4 linked regions of the Saccharomyces cerevisiae S288C genome follow. Changing the gene in region 4 together with the main gene of any one other region gives a genetic interaction. Each region holds a gene or a part of one and is shown on either strand. Other genes may lie near its edges.

Region 1 (4,726 bases), on a different chromosome or scaffold from region 4:
CGCTGACTCTACGGGTTGTTGAGCATACAAGTCTGATGCATACTTGACATAGTATCTAAAAAAGTCAGATAATTCCGTGATACAGTCGATTTCTGCCTGATACACATTTTTTCCCTGGCCCAGCATTGTAGCAGCTAACATGTCATAACGATACTTGGTGGAAATTAAGTCAGCGGCTTTCAAAAAAATTGCAGATCTGTCATAAAACGGTAGATTGTACCAATCCTTTTTGGCATCCTTGGCGGCTTTTACAGCATTCATGACATCTTTTTCCGTGGCTTGTGTGACGTTTGCCAGTACTTGTTGATGGTTCGCAGGGTTAGTCTGCGGGAAAAGCGCTCTTTCATTATTGTCATATATCCTTTCCCCATTGATGACCAGTGGCACTTCTAAAGAAGAACTTTTGAATTTCATCAAGGAAGCCCTCAGTAAGTCCCAGTCTTTTAAGTCTATGTTTCTAAATGGCTTAACAGGTTCATTTCTTATGTGCTTGGGGGGCTTGATGTGTCCCAGTTGTGAGAAAGATCTCTTGAAGTATATAGATTTGAGGCACCTTGCTGATAGCATAATTCCTGTGAATTTGAATTGGCCTTCTATACAATATAGATTATATTAACTTGTTTGTATTATTACATATTTTCCATGGATATACTTCTGGAGTAAAGTCAGCTGTCCTGTCACCCTTATATAGTAGGCCTATCCAATTTTTGTCGGCTTCGGAGTTGGCTTCCCGAGATGTCCGATGGCGTAGATAAGCATTGTTACTGTCCCAGATAGCACAATCTATTGCTTAAGTAGGTGTGAGTCCTCTCCAGATGCTGTCATAGATGAGTGTGTTTCTTCTGATGTCGGCGATTTCGGTGAAGATGGCAAGGGATATGTTTTGATGCCATTGCCATAGTAGCTCTTGGCTCTTACAAAACCCAGTAAGAAATTCGAACTGAAACACCAAGTTATCACACCACAAAAAATAACAAATAGTGTTTTCCAGTTTAATGGATCTATGAATGAGTTGATAATGTCTCCGAACAATTTTGCGCTCAACGTTGATCTTGCACGGAAAAAGATATCGTTATTTCTGTCCATACACTGTTTCCATATAGCACATTGTTCGCCCAGAGCCGGCAAGCCAGGCGTCTGGTTACAACGATTTGTGAGGTACTGCTCTTGACAAATTCTGGATTCGTACTGCAGTTCATGTTTTCTTTGTTCCCATGTGGATTTCAAGTCCTTTTGAAGCGCTATGATAAATGAGAGTATAAAACTAAAAATCACTACTGTAGTGATCGCATTGAGAAATAACTGTAAATATGACATTAGGGCATATGACGCTCTTGATGCCGGATGTGAATTGGGTGACCATGGTTTAGGCAACTTGAAAGCTTCATTTTGGTCGTAAAATTCATCTATTTTATTGTGATTTGGTTTAGTAAGAGAATAAGTTTTAATGCCGTCCTTATCTGAATAGAAGTAGTTGTGTGTATTGAATGAAACCTGAATTGGTTGATATTTTGATCTTGATCTTAATTCCCTCTTGATTATTTCCGAATCGAACGCATTTGCGTACTGGCTTGACTTGTGGTTGCCAAGTGATGATTTGATCTCATCTTCGACTTCTTCATTTCTGATTATGTCTTCACCCTCTGCGTTGTTATTCGAACTTTCATTGTCATCTTGATTGGCCGATGGTGGTAATGGCACAACACCTTCAACTTTAGTAGCTGCGGCCACACCTAAATCGGTCGGTGATAATAATGCCTTTATGACAGTTGAACGATGCGGTGAAACAATGTTCTCGACCTCTTCTACACTTTGGTCTTGGCTTTCATTCTTCTCTTGCTTTTGTCTTTCTTCTGGGGTAGCCTCGATTTCTTCCACCACGGCATTCTCAGTCGCTTCAGTATGAGTTTCGATTGGCTCGTTATTATATTCTTCTTCAAAACTTGTATCATCAACCTCATCTATTTCCATTCGGTCATCTTCTTCCTCATCAGCTTTAGCAGCACTAAAATCCAATGTATTTCGCAGAGGTGATGGGCTCGAGGGAAAATGGGGCATAAATCGGTTGATAAGCTGTGGTGACAAAGTTGGCCCCTGCTTAGATATACTTAGGTCGGAGAGGCCTCCTAACTCCTCGTCAACGTGTTCCATTCCGCTAGTGAAACTGTCTCTTATGCTCAAATTTTCAAAACTTTCCATATGGAAGATCCTATATAACGTTATAATACAACTACTCAATAAGCAAGTATTGCGATAAACAAGCGACTATTTGATGAGATGCTATACCTTTGATGAAATTAAGGGCCCAACTTGCTTTTGTATCTTCTATTGTCTTAGGGAATTTTGCTCTATTTCATCTAAAGTTTTTTTTTCTTTACTTTTTGTTTTCGCCAATACAGGCGTCGCAAAGTGCAGCAAGAATATTTAGCGAGTTATTTGCTTCCACTTAGATCGGTGAACAAGTTGAAATATTCATTGAATGTCATATCCTCTGTACCAAGAGTTTCCTTGTCAGTGATGTCCAAGGGAATAATTTTGCTTTTCAAGAAACGGTCCTGACTGCCACCGGTTTTAGTTTCAACATATAATGGCTGCGGAAACCTTTGCAAGTCATTTAAAAGCTTGCAACAGAGCTCGCGACCTTCTTTTTCCAAAAGTTTTCCCCTTCTTAAAACTAAGTACGAGCCACCATCTACACAAATGGTGGTTTTATCATCTTGAAGTATCTGGGCTCTTGTTAATGGGACATCCAACACGATCCAGTCGTGTTTCAAATCACTGTAACTCCAGATGAAGGGTTTGCATAATGAAAGGCATGTGTCTTTAGAAGCGTTTATTATTCGGTGAAGAAAAAGGTACCTTTCATCAGGTGAAGTATTCCGAACCGATAGAATTGGAGACCTATATATATGATAACACCACTGTATCAGATTGACCATATCTACGTCTTTTCCCCGGATTTGATTTGGTAATAGAAACAATTGCTTCATCAATTCTTTAGTGTGCTTGGATGAGTAAGCAAAGCTATCGATAATTCGTGAGGCTATCTTTTTCATTGAAAACACAATTTCATTTTGTGCCCCAAATGATCTATTGGCTTTTGGCAATAAGAGGGTTTCAATTCTTATGTATTTTTCCGTTTGATTTTCAAAAGTGGTTTGAAACTGTATAGGAGCTTCAGCTGAATTGTGACCTAGTGAGATTTCTAATGGTAGAGAAAGGTTTTTAGGGTTTAAGCTATATTTTGGGAAGTCCTTAACGACAATAGCGTTCTTTGCGGTCATTATCTTTGAATGACAATTGTAAATGGCATTATGGTCACGCAAGTTCAGGTACTTTTGAAAAGACATTGCGAATCTCTCATCATTGAATGAATCAAACTGAGAAACTGCCATTGACGAAGTTATTAATGGACTCATTTCGAGTATACCGATTTGATCCAATGAAGCTATAAAGAATTCATAGATTAACGATTGGTTTGCAAATTTTTCAAGCATTTTCTTGTAAAATTTTGTCGGACTTTTTGATAGTTGCAATTGTGAACTTTTGGATTCAAAATGGTGGTTTTGTCTCATGCTTTCACCACGTTCTCTTGACATAACTTTGCCGCCACCCTTAGTACATGGACCATTCAGGAATGAAACTATATGACAGTAGGCTGACAAACTGCACTGAGACGCCAGTACGGATGAAACGAACAGCGCTAATCCGGTGCAACGCTTGTCCCTTTTAGAACTGATATTCACTTTGTTTGCAATCTTGCATATTTCCCGTAGCAATTTTCTTAAAGAACCCTGAGTAGATTTATCAAACCAGTATGATTCTTGATTGATTTCTGAAATTTTTTTCTCGAAGTAACTGGCATTTAATTTATCAAGATTATATTTGGTCATAAATTCATTTATTGAAAATACAGCATCACGTCTGTGATTCACAGCATTGTGTAAAATCACATGACCTGATTGCTGAATAGTAATTATTGATAGTGGCTCTTGTTGTCTTGTGATGTAATTATTACATAGAATGGAAACTAAATAATTTAGCTCATGAGGATCGCAAATAGCGTCTATAATCATAATGGTCCGTCTTGAAAGTATTTCTTTCTTTGCAGAAGTCAATGTATAGGTGTTGGAAGGTACCAGTGGCAATTCAGCATTTGAGTTTGATTGGTTGCAGAATAGACAAGTCCAAACATTCTGTTCTCGTAGGGAACAAGCCATCGAATAATAGGCGCCACATTTGGTGCATTTTAGATTTTGGTCATAGTTCTGCGTCACAGCATCGCTGGAAAAGGGCTCATATAAGAAATTAGTTGGAGAACACATAGGCACTTCCTTGGCCAAATTTGGTGCTAGATTGCAGTATTGTACAAATACAGGATTCAGTACCTGATCACTATTTTTACTCTTGATATTTTTTTTCCTTAAAAAAAATCAGAAGACAATAATGATAGAAAAAAACTAGGAATTCTTGAATTCATATGCATGGAAGAAAAAGGAATACAGGGAACAGACTTTTCAAAGCGAACAAACAGACCTTAACCGATGGCCGATTTCTTATTGAGACCAATTAAGCAACGTCATAGAAACGAGGACAAGTACGTGTCGGTGGACGCTGCAGACGGATCGGTGTCTAAAATTGAGCCCATCGCAGATTTTGTAATTAAGACAAAACTATTATCCGCTAATGGGCCGGAAAAACTGCAAGATGGCAGGAAGGTGTTCAT
Region 2 (4,130 bases), on a different chromosome or scaffold from region 4:
ATTCGGGAACATCTTTGGAGAACATCCACCAACAAGGTGACGGTAGCGAAGGCATGACTACAACAGAAAAAGAGCCCATCAAATTCGAAATTCATATCGTCAAGGTTCGTATTGTTGGTTTAGCCGGTGTGCATTTTAAGAAAATTTCTGGGAACACTTGGTTGTATAAAGAGCTGGCTTCTAGTATATTAAAAGAACTAAAGTTGTAAGTAACACGTTCCCTGAGAAACCACAGCTTACATTTTTGATATTCGAAAACAAGAATATCCGTTCGATAGAAATTTATATATATATATAGATTCTTTTTATTCTCTTTTGGAAAGAAGAAATAGAATGGACCTAAGCAGACACTCAGCAGTTAATATTTTCGTCCCTTAATTGGTATTATTTATAAATAAATGGCACGTACTTTATGTGTAAAGCAGTTCATCATCGATTGATGGAGAGAATTTGTATACGTAGAGCGATCATTGCACCGTTTACCAGGACAGGATTCATATGGATGTAATAGGACTATTACTTCACTGAATCAATACAACTCGTAACGGTCATATAACTGCGAGTTTGTACGCAGTTATTCTGTTTGTGAAGACAGATTATACTTCGCCGTTGAAAGATTTCTTTACTTCACCATCATTGCCTCCGGATTCTCTTAACTTCTAAATAAAATGAAGATACTGGTAATTCTTGTCCGCAAAAATCTACGCTACACTCTGGAAAGAAACGAGATTTTCTACCGTCTGGTTTATAATGAATATATTTACATGACCAGCTTTGCAATCATATGATATTTTCGCCCATGTATACGAAATTAACTAAAAATACATCCAACGGGAGGCCATTTTCATCACTAATAGCTTGTATGAGCTCAGGAATCATCCAGTATGTGCTGTAGTGCTTCATTTGCGCTTCTAATGGACTTGATATCGTTCATTACACAAGTTAAAAGAATATGCTTGGGAATTCTTTTCCCGTTTTCCTTCGGTGGGGTCCTTACTGATTTAATGAGCCTTTCAAAGGCTTCTTTGGTGTTTATTCTTCGTATCTTCTCCATTTGAACGTGTTTCCATTTCCGTACCTTCACAGGGTCGTCCTCGATATTGGCTGGAATATCAGAGTCTGGGATTCGTATCTCAGGTACTGAAAACGGTGGCGGGTTGTAGTGGTCATTGCCGATAGGCTGATGAGGTCCTTCCCTCGTGGTGAACTCAGTTGGCACATCTGCTGTGTTTGTGGGTAACTCCCCTGTGTTACTGTGTGGATGTGTTTCAGGATATCTTTGATTTAATTCGGTATACCTATGCTGCTTTTTTGGTGATCTTATATGTAGATGTGATTCGGAGTTCATGGAAGCGTTGGAAGACATCATATCCTGTGATATTAGATTGTCTAAAAACTGTTCAATGGCATTCGATTCATTCGTGCTCAACAACCCCGAACTGGAAGGAGACAACTTGAGACCAAGCGCTTGATCAAAACCCATGCTTGGTTGATGAGGGTTGTGATTTAGATAGTGTGCATGAGTATGCAAAGGAGCATGATGAGTTTGGTTATCGGCAGGTATAGTTTCTACGTGAGAGGGTTGCACGGTTGCTACGTTAGGAATTATGCCGAGCTCGTGTGTTAACAGAGGAGGGGAAGTTGCACTAAACGTGTTTTCATGTATGTGCGCAGACATTTGGTCGTCGAAGTTACTGCTGAGCATTTGGTAAGCAGTTTCAAAGTCTATATCGTTATCCAGATCTAGGATACCCAGTAATTCGTTCCCAGTTGCTTGTTGCATTTTCTCCTTTGCTGTTCCATGTATTTATTTATTGCACGTCAACGAGATGGAACCGAACCAATTTCGAATTGCTTATGACGCCAAATACTGATTACAATAAGATATGATGAGATGAGCCTTTAATCACTGAAAAAAATTCACATGTGTGTTGTACTTGGACAGGTGTCAACGCCCTGCCGATGACGGAGGGAGATAGAAAACCGGCGAATTTTTTACCTCCTGCTGAAAAAAGGTTAGGTTGGTTCCATCTGCCGCACTATGGAGGGTGATTCAACGGAAAAGGCGCAGGAAGTGCAGTAGTGACCGGCAAGCAGCATGTTGAAAGACATTGTTGGGAAATCCTGTTTGAGTCCTGGTGTGTCTTCATTCTCCTACCATTTGTAGCTGGCGTAGATTTGGTTTGAGTGTGGTTGGTTAATTCATATTAAGCGTTGAGATTATAATAATAGAAATAATGGAAGAGGCACTCGATCCATATTATCAAGGATTCAAAGTAACTCAGATCTGCAGTAAAGGAGAGATGCGACTGAGAACAAATTCCTTTGCAATGGCATCGGCAATGGCACAATATGGAACTTTTTCTTGTACTGTTGAAAAACAGCACGCTGCAGTTGCATCAGGGTTGTTTTAAGTTGTTGTAGTAATCTCGCGACCTGAGACATCCTTGAAGCGGTGCCTGCGAAGTCTTAGTGAAGAGTTTAAGATTAGAAGTATATAGCATCGAAGGGATGGCCCAACTGAAGCAGGTTCCTCTGCTTGTTTCTCAGCTTATATAAAGGATGGATTGCGTATGTATACATGTGCATTTGTGCGTACGTCATTTTTCGATAGAGTCAGCTTAAGTACATGCGTATAGGTATGGAAGAGCTTAGAAGGGCGCTGGCGCTGCTAAATGGTCAAGGATATGAGTTTATGGTGTTCATAAAGGAAAAAGACCATTTAATAAGTGAGTCAATTCCAAAAAACTTGTTCTCAGAGAGTTTTATATCATCTTCAATTGAAAAAAACCCTCCACTCACGTTCGATCCATTGGTAAATAGGAAAAGAATAACTGTTTATGAAGAAAATATCCAACCAGCGATCATGCTACCCTTAGATCAACCCCTACTAATACAGAATTATCTGTATACGGCTTTTAAATTATTAAGACAGGTCCCATGCAAGGCGATTGCTAAGTTGTGGATAAAAATTATTGAGCCAAGGAAGAAAACCAGGTTTCCATACATTAAAGGCAATGCTGGAAGGCCGGAATGGTGGCCAAAAGATGTAGAACATAAAGAGCCGGACCACCTCCAGAAAGCGGATCGACTGAAATTGATGTGCACGATAATTATGAATGTTCTACCGCAATCTCCCTTCAGCCTTGAGATTTTGGACGAGCTTACAGGAGTGACCGCCGCAATGACCATTTTTAAGAAAGAAACTGTGAAGAAAGTAATCATGAAAAATGTTTTCGAAATTGCGAAATGCTTGTGCAACAAAGATTTCAAGCAGAAGACCATATCACTTGATGATTTAAATGACCTAGCCCAAAAACAGAAAAAATCATACCATAGTCGTCGATTTGATGTAAATAAAATGGTTAAGGTAGAAAAAGATTTGTTACAACAGTCAAGTGGAAGCGATTCTTCACCCTCGATGATCCTTCCTTCAAAAGAAAGTGACACAGAGTATTTCCCCAGGGAATATCCGAAAGACCCTGTATCGGAGGATTATTCGAATAGCATATCTCGATTAGAAAATTTAGTGGAATTTGATCCGTTATTCCTCACTAAATTGGATGAATTAACTAGTAGCGATGATTGTAAAGATTTTATTTGAGAAAAATTTCAAAGCAAAGAAAAGAGGTGTGAGGAGCGCAAAAGCAAAAAGGGGGATAGCATACATTAACACATTTTTTGGCTCTTTGCTACTTGATTTGGTTGCTATCAAGGCGATTTAGTTTCGTCTGATAAGAAGGACACTATAGATTGGTTGAATGATTCTGGGTTATCTAAAAAAAGATTGTGACCGGAAGAAGGTATTTCTAAATAACTTGCTCCTTCTAGACAGTTCTTTAAATTGTTCAACTCTTTGACCATGAACATACCGGCTTTTTTATTCATCCAATCATATTGCCCATATACTATCAATAATTTCTTAACATTTAAATATTGCAGAGAATCCATCAAGGGGTCCTTTGCTAGGATACATCTTGAAAATAACGCTTTGAAAATATCTGTCGTAACCTCCGGTATACCTCCCTTACCGTAAAACAGTTCAAATATGTACTCTTTGTATGCCAACGATGGGACTCGGCTATATGCCGCCATTATGTAATTCCAACATAACTTAGCTCCTAATGGTC
Region 3 (4,415 bases), on a different chromosome or scaffold from region 4:
GCTAAAAAAATATCAAAGAAAATTATTAAGTTAGGAGGTATATTTTCTAAAGATTTGACCAGACAAGTTAATGTCCTTGTTGTTGGGTCCACCACCAATACAAACAAATTTAAATTTGCGGTGAAGCATAGATTCGATATCATATTTATTGACATTCAAGCCATTGATGACATTTATCAGCTCTGGCTGTCTGGAGAAAATATATTGCCGGACTCTAATACGGCAACAATGACAGGATCCACCTATGAGATGCTGAAGATACTTTACCGGCGATTTTCGTTTAAATATTTGCATAACTTCAATATCTTCATTGGCAGAATAACCGACACTAACATAACTTCCATCGATTCATTGGTTAGGAGTATTAAAAAGTTAGGGTGTTCTAGTTATAACTATCAAAACTTTGTAATCAAAGATACCTCTTCACACAATGATGACGATGATCAAGGTCAGAATGGGCAGATATCCATTTTTGTTACGGATACTTTACTAGGAGCAAGAGTTAACGCTGCTATTGAACAAAATATACCTATTGTACATTTCAAATGGATTCTCGATTGCCAAAAAAGAAGCGCACTGTTACCGTACGATCCCTATTATCTTTTACCAAATATTAAAGACCTGCCCTATGATTCAATCGGATCAAACTCTTGCGATTGCTGGGATAAAATAAACACCACCTTTCCAACCAATATCGATGCCCAATCCTCTCTGCAGCGGCAGCAATCCTCCAGTACCCTGACTCCTTCGCTCCCGAAAACATCATCCCTCTTGAATAAATTTAAACCAAAGGGTGAAAAAATATGGGACAAGGCAATGTCTCTACAGCAGCATAGTAAGACAAATTTTTCAGTACTAGGGCAGTCACCATTATCGATAAATAACAAACAAGAAGATTTAAGTGATAATAGTACTTTGATTTTCAAAAATTGTGCGTTTATCATTCATCATATTTTTCCTGGCAATCACCGTTCAATACTAACCAAAATTGTTGTTCAAAATGGGGGTAAAATTGAGACGTCTTACTTGAGCGGCATTTACGATCATTCTTATTACATCATTCCAAGTAATAAAGCTCTTGACTCCTTCAATGATTTACCTGAGATTATAGATGATAATGATGGTATAGTTACAGAATTTTTCATTGAACGCTGCTTGTATTATCAAAAATTACTACACCCAATAGATTTATGGTCAAAACCCTTCCTCAGCACAATAGAGTTTCAAGTTTCGTCTTCTTCAAAGTTATTGCATCATGAATTTTCTTCTTCCCCTTTTCTGAATGTTACTATCACTGGATTCTCTGGCGTAGAGCTGTTACATCTGACTAAAGTATTAAATCTTCTAAAACCAATGGGCATCAATTATGTAGAATACCTCAATAAATCCACTGACATTCTGCTAATCAACTTAGCAGCTTTACCCAGTATCCCGAAAACCCATCCGTTATGGTCGAATGAATTTAGCGATCTTTTTACTCAGTTTTGCATTAATAACAATAATGATGATCCTGGTGATAATAACAGAAAAGATTTTCAAAATAATTCAATCTTGAGAAATTCGATGAAAAGGAAAATTGAATATATCAAGAAATTCCACTCCATACCGGTAGTTACTCCAGCATTTATTTTTAAATTATTGTCCGCTGCATCTGGAGAAAATAATGAAATCTTTTTAAACAATATCAAGTGGTGTATTATCTGCCCAAGAGGACACAAGGACGATTTTAAATGTAAGATAAAAAAACCATACTATACCAGCATTAGTTCAGAAAAAAAGTACCAAAACAATGATCCAAAAATCGACAAAACTATTCTTTTGAAAAGAAACAATTCCTCATTATCGGAGCACTCTATGAAAGATACCAAAAACGAATTATTGCAGAAAATTAGAGAAACTGATTCTGGAAGAAAAAAGCGTAGTGTCTCATCGAGTATCATGGATGTTTCTTCAGAGAGACAAATGCCGGATACGAAAAGGATCAAGTTGGAGTCACTGCCAAAAAATTTCGTTCCTAAACAAATTAAACGAACCACGAGTTGGGGCACAATAATGTCAGAAAATGTGCCTACAGAGCAGCCGACTGCAATTTCTAATCCAGAAGAGATCCCAAGAACTGAGGAAGTTTCACATACTCAAGTTACCTATGGCTCCATTCAAGATAAGAAACGTACTGCCTCTTTAGAAAAACCTATGAGACGACAGACAAGAAATCAGACAAAGGAATTAGATTCTTGAAATGTAGTCCGTAATTTTATAAGATATTCATTTACATACGCCATCTACAGCATTATTCAAATCTACTCATCTATATGTATTACCGTTTTGTATGATAATACTTTCCATGACATGCTCGCGTGAAAAAACAGCATGAGAAAAAGAGGATCGCAATAAGAAGACACGTAAATATCTAAATAAATGGCAACAGTACATCAGAAGAATATGTCGACTTTAAAACAGAGAAAAGAGGACTTTGTGACAGGGCTCAATGGCGGTTCTATAACAGAAATTAACGCAGTGACATCAATTGCTTTGGTAACTTACATATCATGGAACTTATTGAAAAATTCCAACCTTATGCCTCCTGGCATTTCCAGCGTGCAATACATAATTGATTTTGCATTGAACTGGGTTGCTTTGCTTCTATCTATTACTATTTATGCTAGTGAACCATACCTTCTAAACACGCTAATACTGTTACCTTGTTTGCTCGCATTCATATATGGAAAATTTACTAGCTCGAGTAAACCTTCTAATCCAATATACAATAAAAAAAAAATGATTACACAGCGGTTCCAACTAGAAAAAAAGCCGTATATTACTGCGTATCGTGGTGGGATGCTTATTCTGACTGCTATTGCCATCTTGGCTGTAGATTTTCCAATTTTCCCAAGGAGGTTTGCCAAGGTGGAAACTTGGGGGACATCCCTGATGGATCTTGGTGTAGGATCATTCGTTTTCAGTAACGGTATTGTTTCTTCTAGGGCACTGTTGAAAAACCTAAGCTTGAAGAGTAAACCCAGCTTCTTAAAAAATGCATTTAATGCCTTAAAATCAGGAGGAACTCTATTGTTCCTAGGATTGCTGAGGTTGTTTTTTGTAAAAAATTTGGAATATCAAGAACATGTCACAGAATATGGGGTTCATTGGAATTTTTTTATCACCCTATCATTGTTGCCACTTGTATTGACCTTTATTGATCCCGTCACAAGAATGGTTCCACGCTGCTCAATTGCAATATTCATTTCATGCATTTATGAATGGCTACTTTTAAAGGACGATCGCACTTTAAACTTTTTAATTTTGGCTGATAGAAATTGTTTCTTCAGTGCTAATAGAGAAGGCATCTTCTCATTTCTAGGTTATTGCTCGATTTTTCTTTGGGGCCAAAACACGGGATTTTACTTGTTGGGAAATAAACCAACTTTAAACAATCTTTATAAGCCTTCTACGCAAGACGTAGTTGCAGCATCAAAGAAGTCTTCGACTTGGGACTATTGGACTTCAGTAACCCCATTAAGTGGCCTCTGTATATGGAGTACAATTTTTCTTGTTATCAGCCAGTTGGTTTTTCAATACCATCCTTATAGTGTTTCAAGAAGGTTTGCTAACTTACCATATACTTTGTGGGTCATTACTTATAATTTACTATTTTTGACTGGGTACTGCTTGACTGACAAAATTTTCGGTAATTCTTCGGAATATTATAAAGTTGCCGAATGCTTGGAATCAATCAACTCCAATGGGTTGTTTTTATTTTTGTTGGCAAATGTCTCTACTGGTTTAGTCAATATGTCTATGGTCACGATAGATTCTTCACCCTTAAAATCATTCCTGGTTTTGTTGGCATACTGCTCATTCATAGCTGTCATATCGGTTTTCTTGTATAGAAAAAGAATATTCATTAAGCTATAATAACACACCATCCACATTTCCATGTAGTTCGTATACAAACCCTACCAGTAAAATAAAATTAACTCCTATGTGCTTTAAATAAAAATTATAAACCGCCTCCAATAGTTGACGTAGTCAGGCATGAAAGTGCTACTAATCGATGACTATGATTTCACCGTTGTTTAATTTTGACTTTTTTTTCGCACGTGACAGCTGAGAAAATATATCCATTTGACTTGATGCAGGTTCATTCTTCACCTTTTTGGAAAATTTCTGTGTCTTTTTCATTGCTGCGTCAGCCAAAAACTTAGCATTGGAGATTATTGGACGATTGTCAACTGTAGTGTCATCCGGATTATGTAATAACTCAGCAGCTGTTGTATTTCTGCTGTCATCTTCCTCAAATTCACTCTTCAAATCTATCACTTCCTCCACCTTAACCTTGTCACCTCTCTTAGACTTTCTATTTCGAGTTTTTGGTTTTATTTTTTTCGTCTTTTTCGAGCCCAAAAGCTCTCTCC
Region 4 (3,643 bases):
ATTTCATACCATATCTAATTCAAGACCAATATGGTAACTATGTCATTCAATATGTTTTGCAACAAGATCAGTTCACCAATAAGGAAATGGTCGATATCAAACAGGAAATCATAGAAACTGTGGCCAATAATGTTGTCGAATACTCTAAACATAAATTTGCCTCCAACGTGGTCGAAAAATCTATTCTTTATGGCTCTAAAAATCAGAAGGATTTAATAATTTCTAAGATTTTACCAAGAGACAAAAATCATGCTTTGAATCTGGAAGACGATTCTCCAATGATTTTAATGATCAAGGATCAATTTGCCAACTATGTGATTCAAAAATTAGTTAATGTCTCTGAGGGTGAGGGTAAGAAATTGATCGTCATTGCCATTAGAGCATATTTGGATAAACTAAACAAATCTAACTCCCTAGGAAATAGACATTTAGCCAGTGTTGAGAAACTTGCAGCATTGGTTGAAAATGCGGAGGTGTGATTAGTGTTATCATCGTTCTCCTTTCACTTTTTACTATTTTTTTTTTTTTTTTTTTTTTTTTTTTTTCCTCCATTTGTCTTTCACTTACTCTATTTTATTTTGTTTTATTTTGATATCTACTCTTGTCCATAACATTTATGTTCCCCTATATTCATTATTTGCTTTTTTCCATTACCTACTTTTTGTACCTCATCTCTATTTTTCTGCAAAAATCTTTGCGCTCTTACGCTCTTCTTATTTCTGCAACAGATAGAGAATTTAACATTGTGTATTTGAAATCATTTGACTGAGAATACTGTTGTCATGTCTTTTTACATAGAAGGAACTAAAAAAATTTAAAAAAAAAAAACACAAATAACATTATATTTACTGTACATAATAAATCAAGCCTGTTTCTAACCGTTTATAGAAGTAGTTCTTATATGTTCATCCGATTAGGGCGTATCCAAATGTCCATGCCATGACAAAACCAGTTATCTCTCTAAAAAACGATTCGAAAAAAATGTCATGAAGTGGGCTTTGGTAGAACTTTCCTGGTTGAAGTTGACAGATCCAAACAATGTAAATGACATTAATCAAGTTGTACAGAATCAGGAACCAAATAAACCCATGGACTGACTCGATTTGCAAAAATCCTGCAACAAGCCCTAGAACAAGTGCTGAGCTATCTTGCACGAAAAGTAAACGCTTCTTATTATCAACCACATTCGCAGTTGCGTTTATCTGAGTAAATACCTCTTCATTTGAGCTCATTTCTATCTGTCTGCCGCTGTCTTTCTCGAACACTGCTTGAGCAATCCAACATAAGGTTAAAATTAAGTTGTATTTAGTTATATCTCTACTAGCTTCATTTGTGATTACCCGGGTTACTAGAAAGCATATAGAAAGAAAAAGAATTGGCGTGACCGTACATATTGCAGCGCATTAAATGTTCTATATCTTCATATATAATAATCAATGTCATTATTTCAAATACCCACCTTTCTCACAAAGACTGTAAAAAATAGACGTTTTATCGGATAACAATTTCGAGGGTGAATCGAATTCCCTCACACTACCCTGGTCAAGAACAATTATCTTATCACTGTCCAATACAGTGTCGATACGATGTGCAATTGTTAAGATGGTACGGTCCTTAAATTCTCTTCTTATAGTGTCTTGGATAATTTTATCGGTTTCCATATCCACAGAAGCCGTTGCTTCATCAAGGACCAATATTTTGGAACGGTTTAGCAGCGCTCTTGCCAAACATAGTAGTTGTCTTTGCCCCACTGACAAGTTACTACCGTTCTCATTAATCTTGACATCCAGAATATCATTAACATTGCCATCCTCTTCATTAGAATCATCACCTCTTGGTTTACTGTGCAGCATTTTTTCCAGATGAGGCTTTAAATGTGCCTGCTCAACAGCCCTTTTAAGTTCATCTTCTGAATAACGATTGAAAGGGTCCAAATTGGTCTTTACTGTACCTTCAAAAGCTTGTGCATCCTGAGGAATAATTGCCAAATGGCTTCTTAAATCGAACAGACCTATGTCGGATATATCAATGCCGTCAATAATAATTTTACCTTCGGTAGGTTCTAGTATTCTAAATAATGCCAGGCTCAGTGTAGACTTCCCTGCACCTGTTCTGCCAACAATCCCAACCTTTTCACATGGCTCAATCTTCACGTTAATATTATTCAGCACTGGATCCAAATTTTCTCTGTATTTTGTGGAATAGTTTTTGAATTCAATACCACCCTTTGATGGCCAATTTTCATCTGGCCTCTTTTCAGGGTTAATGGACTGTGCTTCAGGTGGTAATTCGCAGTACTCAACAATTCTCTCCACTGATACAATGTTGGTTTCAATCGTCACAGTTGTCCTTACAATCCAAGTCAATGAACCTGTAACCTCTAATGAATAGCTCATTAGTAGACCAACCATACCCGAACTTAGTTGCCTTTTAGTATTCATTGTTGCTAGTGCTAAGATTGCAGTAGCCAAAACAATTGTAGCACCAATAGTTTGCAATCTCACGGATAACCATCTATTCGTTGATCTAAAGTTGAAGACAAAATCAACGTTGTATTGGATTTTTTCATAATTTAGATAGATGAATCTCTCAAAATGATCGTATGCATCAATAATAGAATAACCGTTCAAGCTCTCACTCATTAAGGACATAATCGGAGAGTAAGATATACTGATCAATCTTTTTAGCTCCCTAGATAGCACAATGTAAAATGTTTGATAGTAAATATAGATAACCACCAAAAACATATTGAACACTAAAAACCATGGCATATTGTACCCGACTAATATAACAGTAACCAAATAGGTTAGTATTGATTTGAAAAAAAAGGAGAAAATGTACTGTAGATTACTGTCCACTGCATCCATATCAGATGAGAACCTGTTTATGATCCTTCCAACTGGTGTAGTCTCAAAGAAAGTCATAGGACTTCTAATTACAGATTTGGCCATGCTTTCATGCAGTTTCTTAGAACCCCTAATAGAACAATACAGTAGCATCATAATACTCCGTAAATTATTGAATGCGGCCGATGCTACTCCGATTAAGGAATACACACCAACAAACATCCAAACCCTTTCATTTGAACCATTTTTTTCATTAGATTCTGACCAGTACTTTAACCAAAAATTCTCTGCTAAGTCGAAAACCCTTGTTAATATCATAAACAAGAAAAATAAAACAACACCTAAAACTCCACAAGCCTTAATATACGCAAGATAAATCTTTGTTTTGACTCTTCCCACCTCTGTCTTCTCGGCCTTTTGCGCCGTTTTCTTCACGGAATCCAATTGTGCTCCCACAAAGGGTCTAGGTCTTAGCGTAGCTAGAGAAGCTCTTCTAGAATTGGCTTTGATTAGTTCTAATTCACTCTCAGTAACAACCTCATCCTCAGTTTCTGATTCAGTTACTTTAAGCTGCAGAGGTTCATCCACTTCACTTTCGGATCGGTGTTCAGTTTGGACATCGCTTTCATTTCCATTATCAATCGGAGAATCAAATTCCTCTAGTAATTTTTTCAGTTTTGAAGTATTGTTCTTACGGTTCATTACATCCTCATAATTCCCTTGTTCAACAATTTCACCGTTTTCTAGCGCATATATCATCTGCGAATGTTTTAAAATTGATACAGTATTGGTAGTTA

Evidence for each region.
Region 1: mutations in EMC6 (region 4) and BRL1 together harm fitness more than expected from each alone (negative genetic interaction), as found in Saccharomyces cerevisiae (2 studies listed by BioGRID).
Region 2: mutations in EMC6 (region 4) and INO2 together harm fitness more than expected from each alone (negative genetic interaction), as found in Saccharomyces cerevisiae (4 studies listed by BioGRID, with this or other methods).
Region 3: mutations in EMC6 (region 4) and GWT1 together harm fitness more than expected from each alone (negative genetic interaction), as found in Saccharomyces cerevisiae (2 studies listed by BioGRID).

The regions. Positions count from the first base shown.
Region 1 is NC_001140.6:177,818-182,543, reverse strand, and holds BRL1 (Brl1p), read right to left. Parts: upstream 2,200-4,726; coding exon 784-2,199; downstream 1-783. Other genes in the region: PUT2 (1-pyrroline-5-carboxylate dehydrogenase), read right to left, coding at 1-567; GTPase-activating protein NEL1, read right to left, coding at 2,433-4,325; PIH1 (Pih1p), read left to right, coding at 4,545-4,726. UniProt on the Saccharomyces cerevisiae protein: Involved in mRNA and protein export from nucleus.
Region 2 is NC_001136.10:697,686-701,815, forward strand, and holds INO2 (Ino2p), read right to left. Parts: upstream 1,784-4,130; coding exon 869-1,783; downstream 1-868. Other genes in the region: serine/threonine protein kinase KIN1, read left to right, coding at 1-209; YDR124W (uncharacterized protein), read left to right, coding at 2,630-3,604; ECM18 (alpha/beta hydrolase family protein), read right to left, coding at 3,712-4,130. UniProt on the Saccharomyces cerevisiae protein: Positive regulatory factor required for depression of the coregulated phospholipid biosynthetic enzymes. Also involved in the expression of ITR1.
Region 3 is NC_001142.9:260,580-264,994, reverse strand, and holds GWT1 (glucosaminyl-phosphotidylinositol O-acyltransferase), read left to right. Parts: upstream 1-2,442; coding exon 2,443-3,915; downstream 3,916-4,415. Other genes in the region: protein kinase activating protein DPB11, read left to right, coding at 1-2,238; DNA helicase SRS2, read right to left, coding at 4,048-4,415. UniProt on the Saccharomyces cerevisiae protein: Probable acetyltransferase, which acetylates the inositol ring of phosphatidylinositol during biosynthesis of GPI-anchor.
Region 4 is NC_001144.5:118,911-122,553, reverse strand, and holds EMC6 (Emc6p), read right to left. Parts: upstream 1,233-3,643; coding exon 906-1,232; downstream 1-905. Other genes in the region: mRNA-binding protein PUF3, read left to right, coding at 1-479; ATP-binding cassette bilirubin transporter BPT1, read right to left, coding at 1,443-3,643. UniProt on the Saccharomyces cerevisiae protein: Part of the endoplasmic reticulum membrane protein complex (EMC) that enables the energy-independent insertion into endoplasmic reticulum membranes of newly synthesized membrane proteins.